Tribolium castaneum: one gene and its partner. The protein of the gene in region 1 purifies or fractionates together with the protein of each later gene. This does not show direct contact. Links are inferred from orthologs where the notes say so. Each region holds a gene or a part of one and is shown in the gene's direction. Other genes may lie near its edges. The genes, in order: l(2)dtl and CSN6.

Region 1 (4,064 bases):
ATTGTGCCATTTGAGGAAAAAGCGAAAAGTCCGTACCGAATTCTCCAAAATGTGATTGAAGCCAAATTGGACGAAACAGTACCTGAAGTCACCTACGTCACGCATTCGACGGCGGATTTTATCAACTACATCGCAGAAATAATCAGGTGAAAGCCCCCAGTCTCGTCAAAACTTTGCAACGTTTTTTGCAGATTTTGGGAAGGCCCGGTTAGCGTTGCCGCCTTTGTCCCGGATTCAGACGCCGACCTAACAATCCGCCAGTTGACACAGCTGTGTTTTTGCGCCCCCGAAATGGGGCGAGTCTCTGTCCACTTCGTATTCCCGCTCAAGGAGCCCCCATATTTGCAAAACCACCAGGAAAAATTAACCTGCGAGCTCCCTGATTCGGCCAAATTGGCCACGTTTCGGATGAGCAACGAGCTCATGTACCCCATCAACATATGCCGAAACGTGGCTCGGACGTACTCACAGACCGATTTTGTGATGGTCACTGACATCCAGCTCATACCGAGCGAAGACTTGGCTTCGAGATTCGTCAAAATGGCCAAACTGTTGCATTTGAAGAAAAGTCCGTCCCGCGTTTTCGTAGTGCCTGTGTTCGAAGTGGAGGCTTATGATGTCATACCGAGGACGAAAGACGAACTCATGATGATGGTCAAGGAGGAGAGAGCGGTTTACTTCCACAGACACACTTGCTCCCATTGCCAGAAGTTTCCGGGGATTAAGACCTGGCTCGAAAGCGCCAGCGGTGACACCATCAAGGTGGGCAAAGCCAGGCGTAGCCAGTTTTTCAATTTGCAATTTCAGCCCTTTGTTTCCGTCAAACGGGAGTACCCTTTCCACCGCTGGGAACCCATCTACATAGGGGGCAAGACCGACCCCTTGTACAGCGAACTGCTGTCCTGGGAGGGTTTGCAAGACAAGATGACTCAGGTGGGGACCCAACACTAGGACTAGCGCCTAATTCTGACTTCCAGATGTTGGAGATGTGCCTTATAGGATACCAGTTCATTATTTTGGATGGCGCGTTCCTGGTCCACTGGCCCGGGATTAAAAAGGAGAAGCACACCTTTTACGTGCAAAATTCGTGGCGAATGAGTTTCCAGCAAGAAAACTCCAAACACTACTCGAGAATTATCAAGGAATTGCGGAGCAAATACGACGATAATCCTAAATGCAAGCTGCAATAAATCAAACTGTTGAGTTAGACTGATTAGCCAAAGCGATAGATTAGTTAATTGTTGCCGATTGAGCCAATGGTTTTGTTGACGTTGAACCGACCTGTGATCATGCTTATTTTAACAAATAAACCGATAAAGAAAAACACGATTGAATTTGATTCAAATTTCGCCCGGCTTTTAAATATTGTCCCATCTGTTTTATCGACTGACCCGACCCAAGCTCGCCTACCCGTCCCAAGTGCTATCCCTTTCCAACACGTACCAAACGAGAGAAAGAGCCACAATCACATAAGTTGGTGCGTCCCTTGACATTTCCCGCTTTAACCTCACATTCTAGAAACATCAACAACTCAAAGGCCTTGGTGAAATCGCAGCGAAATTGTTACTTTTTGCCCCAAAATCGTGCAAATGCAGCCAGTGAAGAAGCTAATCGAGCAACAGACCGGCTCAGGTAGCACATTTTGTTAATATTTTCACTTTCAAGTCACAAAAAGCGCGCCCTTTTAGCCCGCTGGAAACGCTACGACGAAGTAATTAAGCGTCTCCGGTGCCCCAAAGAGGACGAATACACCCAGTTACTATCCTCCGAAGATGTTATTTGTGATACCCCGATCTTTGCGTGCAAATTCGCGCAGCAAAAATCAAACGAAAACTTGCTGGCTCTCGCTAACGAAGACGGCAAACTGGCCATTCAAGACACCAGTAAAAAGCACGAGTCTTACGGGATCCGGGCGCACAACAACGCTATTTTCGACCTGTGCTGGATGTTCGACAATATGAAGATCGTGACGGCGTCAGGGGACCACACTGCGAAGCTCTTCGATGTGGCGGAGGCCGACGTGAGAGAAATTCGCTCTTTTTTCGGTCACACGCGCTCAGTTAAAACCATTGCGTTCCGCAAAGAGGACCCGAGTGTCTTTGCGACTGGGGGGCGCGACGGCAATATCATAATTTGGGACACGCGGACACTCGGGGGTAGCTTGGTCGGGAAGGTCGATAGGACCATTTTTAACTCACACAATACTAGAACTCCGGTCAAAACGCGCAAAAAGTGCACGTGTTTGAGTCCCTCGAGGGCGTCGAACGCCAAGTCAGTGACGGGGTTGGTCTTCCAAGACGATAATACGTTGATTTCGTGCGGTGCCGGTGATGGGGTTATCAAAATCTGGGATTTGCGCAAGAATTATCTCTTTTATAAGCAGGAGCCGCTGCCGAAGAACAAAATCCCGTACGGGGGCACCACGACGAAGAACGGCTTCAGCAGTCTTATCATCGATAGGGACTGTGTCAGGCTGTACGCCAATTGTTTAGACAATACGATTTATAGTTACAACGTTGGCACGTGTAATCCTGAGCCCGTGATGAGGTACACGGGGCACCAGAACAGCACTTTTTACATTAAGGCGTGTCTCAGTCGCGATGGCAATTATTTGATTAGTGGGAGTAGCGACGAAAACGCGTATATTTGGAACACAAGTCATTCGCGACCTTTGGTCCGATTAACCGGACATGTGGCGGAAGTCACGTGTGTGGCATGGTGCGAGCGAGACGACCCGACTTTAGTCACATGTTCCGACGACATGTCCCACCGGATCTGGCGAGTGGGCCCGGAGGAACTGCCGGAAAATTGGGAAATAATCGGGAAAGGCCACGCCGAAGTGTTGCCTTTAATCCCGGTCCAGTCCGAACTGAAGCGACCAATTGATGAAATAATCCCGATTAGTAAAAAAATGTCGCTTGCTTGCAAAAAGTGCGACAGTCCTTCCACCAGTGGCGTGTGCCAAAACTGTTGTTCTAACAACAAACGGAAAATCGATGAGGAAATTTCCAACGAGACTAAGAGGTTTCACGGCGAATTGGGGCCGAGGCGCCTTTTCCAAAATTTGGAAAATAATGATGAGAAGACGCTGACTTTGAATTTGCCCAATTATGTGATTGATGGGGTGGCCCCACATTTGAATTTTTCGCCTCCCAAGAAAAAGGATCAAGACTGGTTGACGAAATTGCGTACGGAGAGGAAGTTTAAGCGGGATTTTGAAACAGCCTCCACTTCGACGCCCCCGAAAGTGGCCAAGTTGGAGGCGACGCCGAAAAAATGTGCGCCGAAAAGCCCCCTTTTGAGGTTTTTTAAAGTTAAGTGTGAAGGGCATTCGTGTACGAAGTCTCATTCAAACTGTAATGTTGCGGCGCCGAATACGCAATCCAGTCAATAAATTAAGCACACAATGTATCTCATATTTTAAGACTTTGTATTGTAGTTTTAAGCTGTCTTGTTTGTTTTTATGATTTTTTATTATACTATGTTTTGTCTTGTTTTTGACCTGAAATTAATAAAAAAGTTTTATTTTGAATGTGTTTTTTTATATGGTTACAATCAATCGCCTATACCCACTAAAAAACAGCTATAGGTATTACCGTTGCTGTTTTATAATCAGTAATACATTGCTTAGCTAAATTTACAATCAAAATTTTATTCGCGATTTCGTGATTAATTTTATCTTTAGCAACTTAATTTGAATTAATTTAATTATCGCTTTCTTATTTAGCGGCTAATTTTAGCTATCAAATAATCGAAAATTAATTTTTTTGTACCTAATTTTGGTAGGTGTCTTATTAAAATTTCCCCCTGTGATGAAAACAAAGAAAAAGTTAAGATCTTGAAGCTGGCAATTTTTTTATGCAACCAAAAATACTAATTACACCCACCACTTGATACTGCGTTTTTTAGCAGAATGGGTACTTCTGTTTCAATACAGTCAAACCTCATTTATCCGTGCCTAGGCATCAGGCTATCGATAGTTTTATTTATAAACTTAAGTTTGCATTTGAATGTTGGTTTCTTTTTTAAAAAGCATTGTGAAGTTATAATTTTTTTTCAGTGTA
Region 2 (4,342 bases), on another chromosome or scaffold:
CTCTCGAAATTAAAACACAATAGTCAATAATAATTAGTTCCTTCAAAGATAGTGGTCAGTCAGTTAAAAATCCAAAATTTCGTTAAAAACTGTTTGAAAATATTTTTTTTGTAATTTGCCGCCCTTTTGATGTTTCAATGGGCATCTTAAAGCACGCAACGTTATCAAGAGCGATGTCATAATAAGATTAAGACTCGTCTTATAAAACTTGTTTTTAATGTACTATAAATTAGGTCAAAAATGATGTTAAATTTGCCTTTTTACAGTGTTTAAGCACGTTTTTGAAGTAAAAACAAAGTTTTTTCAACAGTAGCGCCAAACAAATAACAACTTTGTCAAAAATGAAGTTTTCAAACTAAATTGTCAGTTTTTTTGAGATTTATTTTATTTTATTATTCTTTTTGTCATTTTCGAGCGTTTTGCTAAAAACAAACAGAAAATGAGAAAGTTTTGCCGAACATATTTTAATTATTTTTGCCTTTTTTGATTTTTATTGGCGTGTTTATCTTTAGGTCATTCAACAATTCAATAAAGAGTTTGAAATTGAAATAGGCAAAGAAATCAATAAAAATGAGTTTTTTTAACAAAAAAATTGATTAAAGACATAAAAGCCCATTTAGCTACGTTTTCGTTCCAGAAAAAATGAGCACCCAAAAAGGTAACGCCCAAAGGAGTCGCTCCCAAAAACATCAAAACAAAACCGCCTTCAAAAACACCCTCCACGACACAAGTCAACGCACGAAAAACATTAACAACATCCAAATCAGCGACGTTTGTGTCCGTTGCAAGGAAATAATCGAGTGGAAAATAAAGTACAAAAAATACAAACCGCTCACACAGCCACGAAAATGTGTCAGATGTGATCAGAAAAACGTGAAGAAAGCGTATCATGTGATGTGTACAGACTGTGGAAAAAAATTTGGTGTTTGTACAAAATGTTGTGAAACGAAAGAAGTTATTACAACAAAACCGGACGAAAAGGAACAACTCAAACTGGACAACGAAATGAAGAATTTGCTACATACGCTTCCGGAACGCAAACGGAGGACGTTTTTGAGGTACATGAGCAAAAAAAGTGAGGAAGATTCGACGAATGACGAGGAGAGAAAGGAAGATTTGAAAAGCAAACTCAACGCGCTTAAGATTGACGATGACTTGGACGACTTCAGCGATTTTGATGACGTTGATTCGTCGGATGATTAAATTTTGTAATATATTGGTTGTAGAATTTAATTAAAATAATAAAATAAAAGAGCGAATATTTTTATTTGTTGCACCACGTTCTGTCAAAGCGATCTTATTTGTCATTTCGGTTAATTATCTTGTAATAAATTATATGCGTCCTACAGAAATAATGGAAGTGATGACGTTAATTCGTCTAATGAGTAAATTTAATTAGGTATTTGAATTTAATAAAATTTGAGGAATATGTTAATATGTTGCGTTTAAGTTTGGCGCCACTTGTGACATTGACATCTGTCAAAGGGTCAAAGCGCTGTCATTTGTCATTTTGTTAGCGGTGTTATTTATACATTTTGATTCAATTTCTTGTAATAATTAATATGAGTACGAAAGAATCAATGGAAATGGAAGTCGATAATCCGGCTTCTGCTGATGTTGCAAATAATCCGGCGGAAGATTCGGAAAAAAGTGTGATGGCAGCTGGGGCTGTCGGTTCTGTGACTTGTTCATTGCACCCTTTGGTGATAATGAATGTTTCTGAGCACTGGACACGTGAAAAGGCTCAAGAGGGCTCAGTCCAACGAGGTACGACACCATTTACAGTATAGTTAGTTATTTATAATGTTACATTTTAAGTGATTGGGGCTTTGATTGGTAAACAGAAGGGGCGAAACATTGAAATAATGAACTCATTTGAACTGGTATTTAGTGTAATTGGAGGGGATGTTATTATCGACAGGGATTATTACAACATGAAGGAAGAACAATGTAAGTATGTACCGTGTGGTCAACGGAATTTGTAATCACTAATCAGAGTAGGGAAGATTTTTTCTGTATGGTTGGTTGCGTTTGTTGTAATTGAGACTCATTTATTTCTTCAATTTCATTGAATAAGATCTGTTGTAAATTATAATGAAGTTTAGCCAGACTGCAAATTTTTTGTGGGAGGTAGGCAACGTTTAGGGTTACCATCAGATTTTTTTTAGCTTTGGACACCACAATAAAATGACTAACAACAATAACTTACATTCTTATATTATCGTATTATCGTATATAAAATACTCTGGTAATGGCATCTTATTACCTGACTTCTCGTTTGTATTAAGAATTTTTACTTAGTTTAATAAAAATAAATTTATTTTCAAATAAAATATTACAAAACCAAAAAAACATTGCCAATAGTTTTAATAGTATGTACTGATACAAGAAATATAACAAACAGCATTAGTATAAAAAATATTGTAGTAATAATATTGTACAGAGTGCTGTATTTTGGATGTCGGAATAGGAGATCTCCGAAACTAAGAGATTTAGAGAAAAACAAGTGACACATTCTTGGGTCCGTTTTTTGAGAATATAATCTTGGTCTAAACCGCATCTTGCTATCGTTTTTTGTTTTCGACTTATAAACAAAAGTTGACATTTTAGTGTCAACTTTATACAGAAAAAGCGAAATGTATTTTTTTTAATATTTAAAAAGAATGTATTACACATCAAATCAGAAAAAAATTAGCTTTACAAAAATATTACAGCCTCCTATAATTCATATTTAAAAAAATAAAACTTATTACAGCTAAACGAAAGGTTAAAAAAATCGCTGATAACATTTTTAAATTCTCTGTAAAAAGTGCTTGTATAATGTTTGTGTTTCAAATGTGTATCTTTTATAATAAGGAAGATATATATGATTTTTTTTAAGATTTCGTTAAAATGTCAAGTTCTGTTGATAAGTCGAAAACAAAAGATGATAGCGGGATGCGGTTGACCAAAATTATTTTTTAAAAAAACGGACCAGAAAATGTGTCACTTGTTTTTCTCTAAATCTCTTAGTTTTGGAGTTCCCCTATTCCGACATCTAAAATGCAGCAGCCTGTACAATGAGTGTTAGAATGATTCACATCTAATCATCTGTGAATTTCTCATGTAAAAGAACATATAACTAATGATAGGCATTTAGACATTGAATATTAACATTCTGTATTTATTATTTCAAAGTTAACTAGATGAGAATCATTTAAAAACACATTGTATAAACAGTAAACCACCTTTCTGCATCATTTTTTTTGCAAAACTATCCGGTATCCTGTTTGCAAAATGTAAATTCAATTTTTAGAAGTTGTATATCTACATTTTTCCAATTCACTCCAAGTTTTTTTTAATATTCAAAGTATTTGTTGGAAACAACTAGATAGTTTCGAATTCAGAAAAATTACAGATGGAATTAAGCGTTCTATCGCAGAGTTTTTAAAATTGGTCGTTAATTTTAATTTTAGATACAACAAAATTTAAATTACCCTAAGAAAACTGGACATTTATTACAAATTAACATTTGATCCGGATACCGGACATATCGTCTAATATCCGGATTGTATTGAGTGAAAACCGGACAGGTGGCAACTCTAACAAGGTTGCTATAAACTGTAAAGTATGGATACAGTAGCTGAAAATTTTATAAACAGTAAAGTTCATGTAAATGCGGAATAATATTTTTCTGACTCCTGTGAGTTCGCAGTAAAGCGATGGCAGTCCATTTACCGAATACGGTGTATATATTTTTTCATTTTTTTTTTTATTAATTTTTCTCAAGTTTTGCGCTTAGTTATGACAATTATTCGCCTTTCAAGTTAAGACCTTTGGTTTTTCTGGTTGTTAATTGTGAAATGCTGCTTTGCCATATAGCGGGAAATTTAAATGTAATTTTTTTGAAAAGGTACAAACGTTTTTTGTCTGTTTGACACTTTTAATAGATCTTTTATGGTACTCTAGCTGCCAAAATCAAATTTCGCAAGGGAGTGGTTCACCAGAGAGCGCAGAGATCTTGGCTTGAAAGGTGAATACAAATAATAAAAATAAGAAAACTACTCTTATTGTAAATTCAAACACTAGAAAACACAAAAATTGTTTGTTAACAATCTATTGCAGTCAAGCAGGTGTTCAGTGACATGGATTTCATTGGTTGGTACACCACCGGAGACATCCCCAACACCACTGACATTAAAATCCATAAGCAAATATGCGACATTAATGAATCTCCAATTTTGCTTAAATTAAATCCCTACGACAAAAACATTGATGTTCGTACACAGGCTGCATTTTAAGTGTTAGTTTTAACATAATTATTTTAGCATTTGCCGGTTGCTCTTTACGAGTCTGTAATTGA

What was found.
Region 2: the proteins of l(2)dtl (region 1) and CSN6 purify together in Homo sapiens (affinity purification with mass spectrometry; 4 studies listed by BioGRID and IntAct, with this or other methods). This does not show direct contact. The link is inferred for Tribolium castaneum from reciprocal best matches to the Homo sapiens genes DTL and COPS6.

The regions. Positions count from the first base shown.
Region 1 is NC_087402.1:4,539,576-4,543,639, forward strand, and holds l(2)dtl (protein lethal(2)denticleless), read left to right. Parts: upstream 1-1,447; 5' UTR 1,448-1,589; coding exon 1,590-1,632; intron 1,633-1,688; coding exon 1,689-3,394; 3' UTR 3,395-3,532; downstream 3,533-4,064. Other genes in the region: beta-1,4-glucuronyltransferase 1, read left to right, coding at 1-146, 192-933, 978-1,190. UniProt on the Homo sapiens protein: Substrate-specific adapter of a DCX (DDB1-CUL4-X-box) E3 ubiquitin-protein ligase complex required for cell cycle control, DNA damage response and translesion DNA synthesis.
Region 2 is NC_087398.1:15,420,229-15,424,570, forward strand, and holds the start of CSN6 (COP9 signalosome complex subunit 6), read left to right. Parts: upstream 1-1,476; 5' UTR 1,477-1,562; coding exon 1,563-1,767; intron 1,768-1,818; coding exon 1,819-1,950; intron 1,951-4,104; coding exon 4,105-4,256; intron 4,257-4,307; coding exon 4,308-4,342. Other genes in the region: uncharacterized protein C9orf85 homolog, read left to right, coding at 643-1,203. UniProt on the Homo sapiens protein: Component of the COP9 signalosome complex (CSN), a complex involved in various cellular and developmental processes.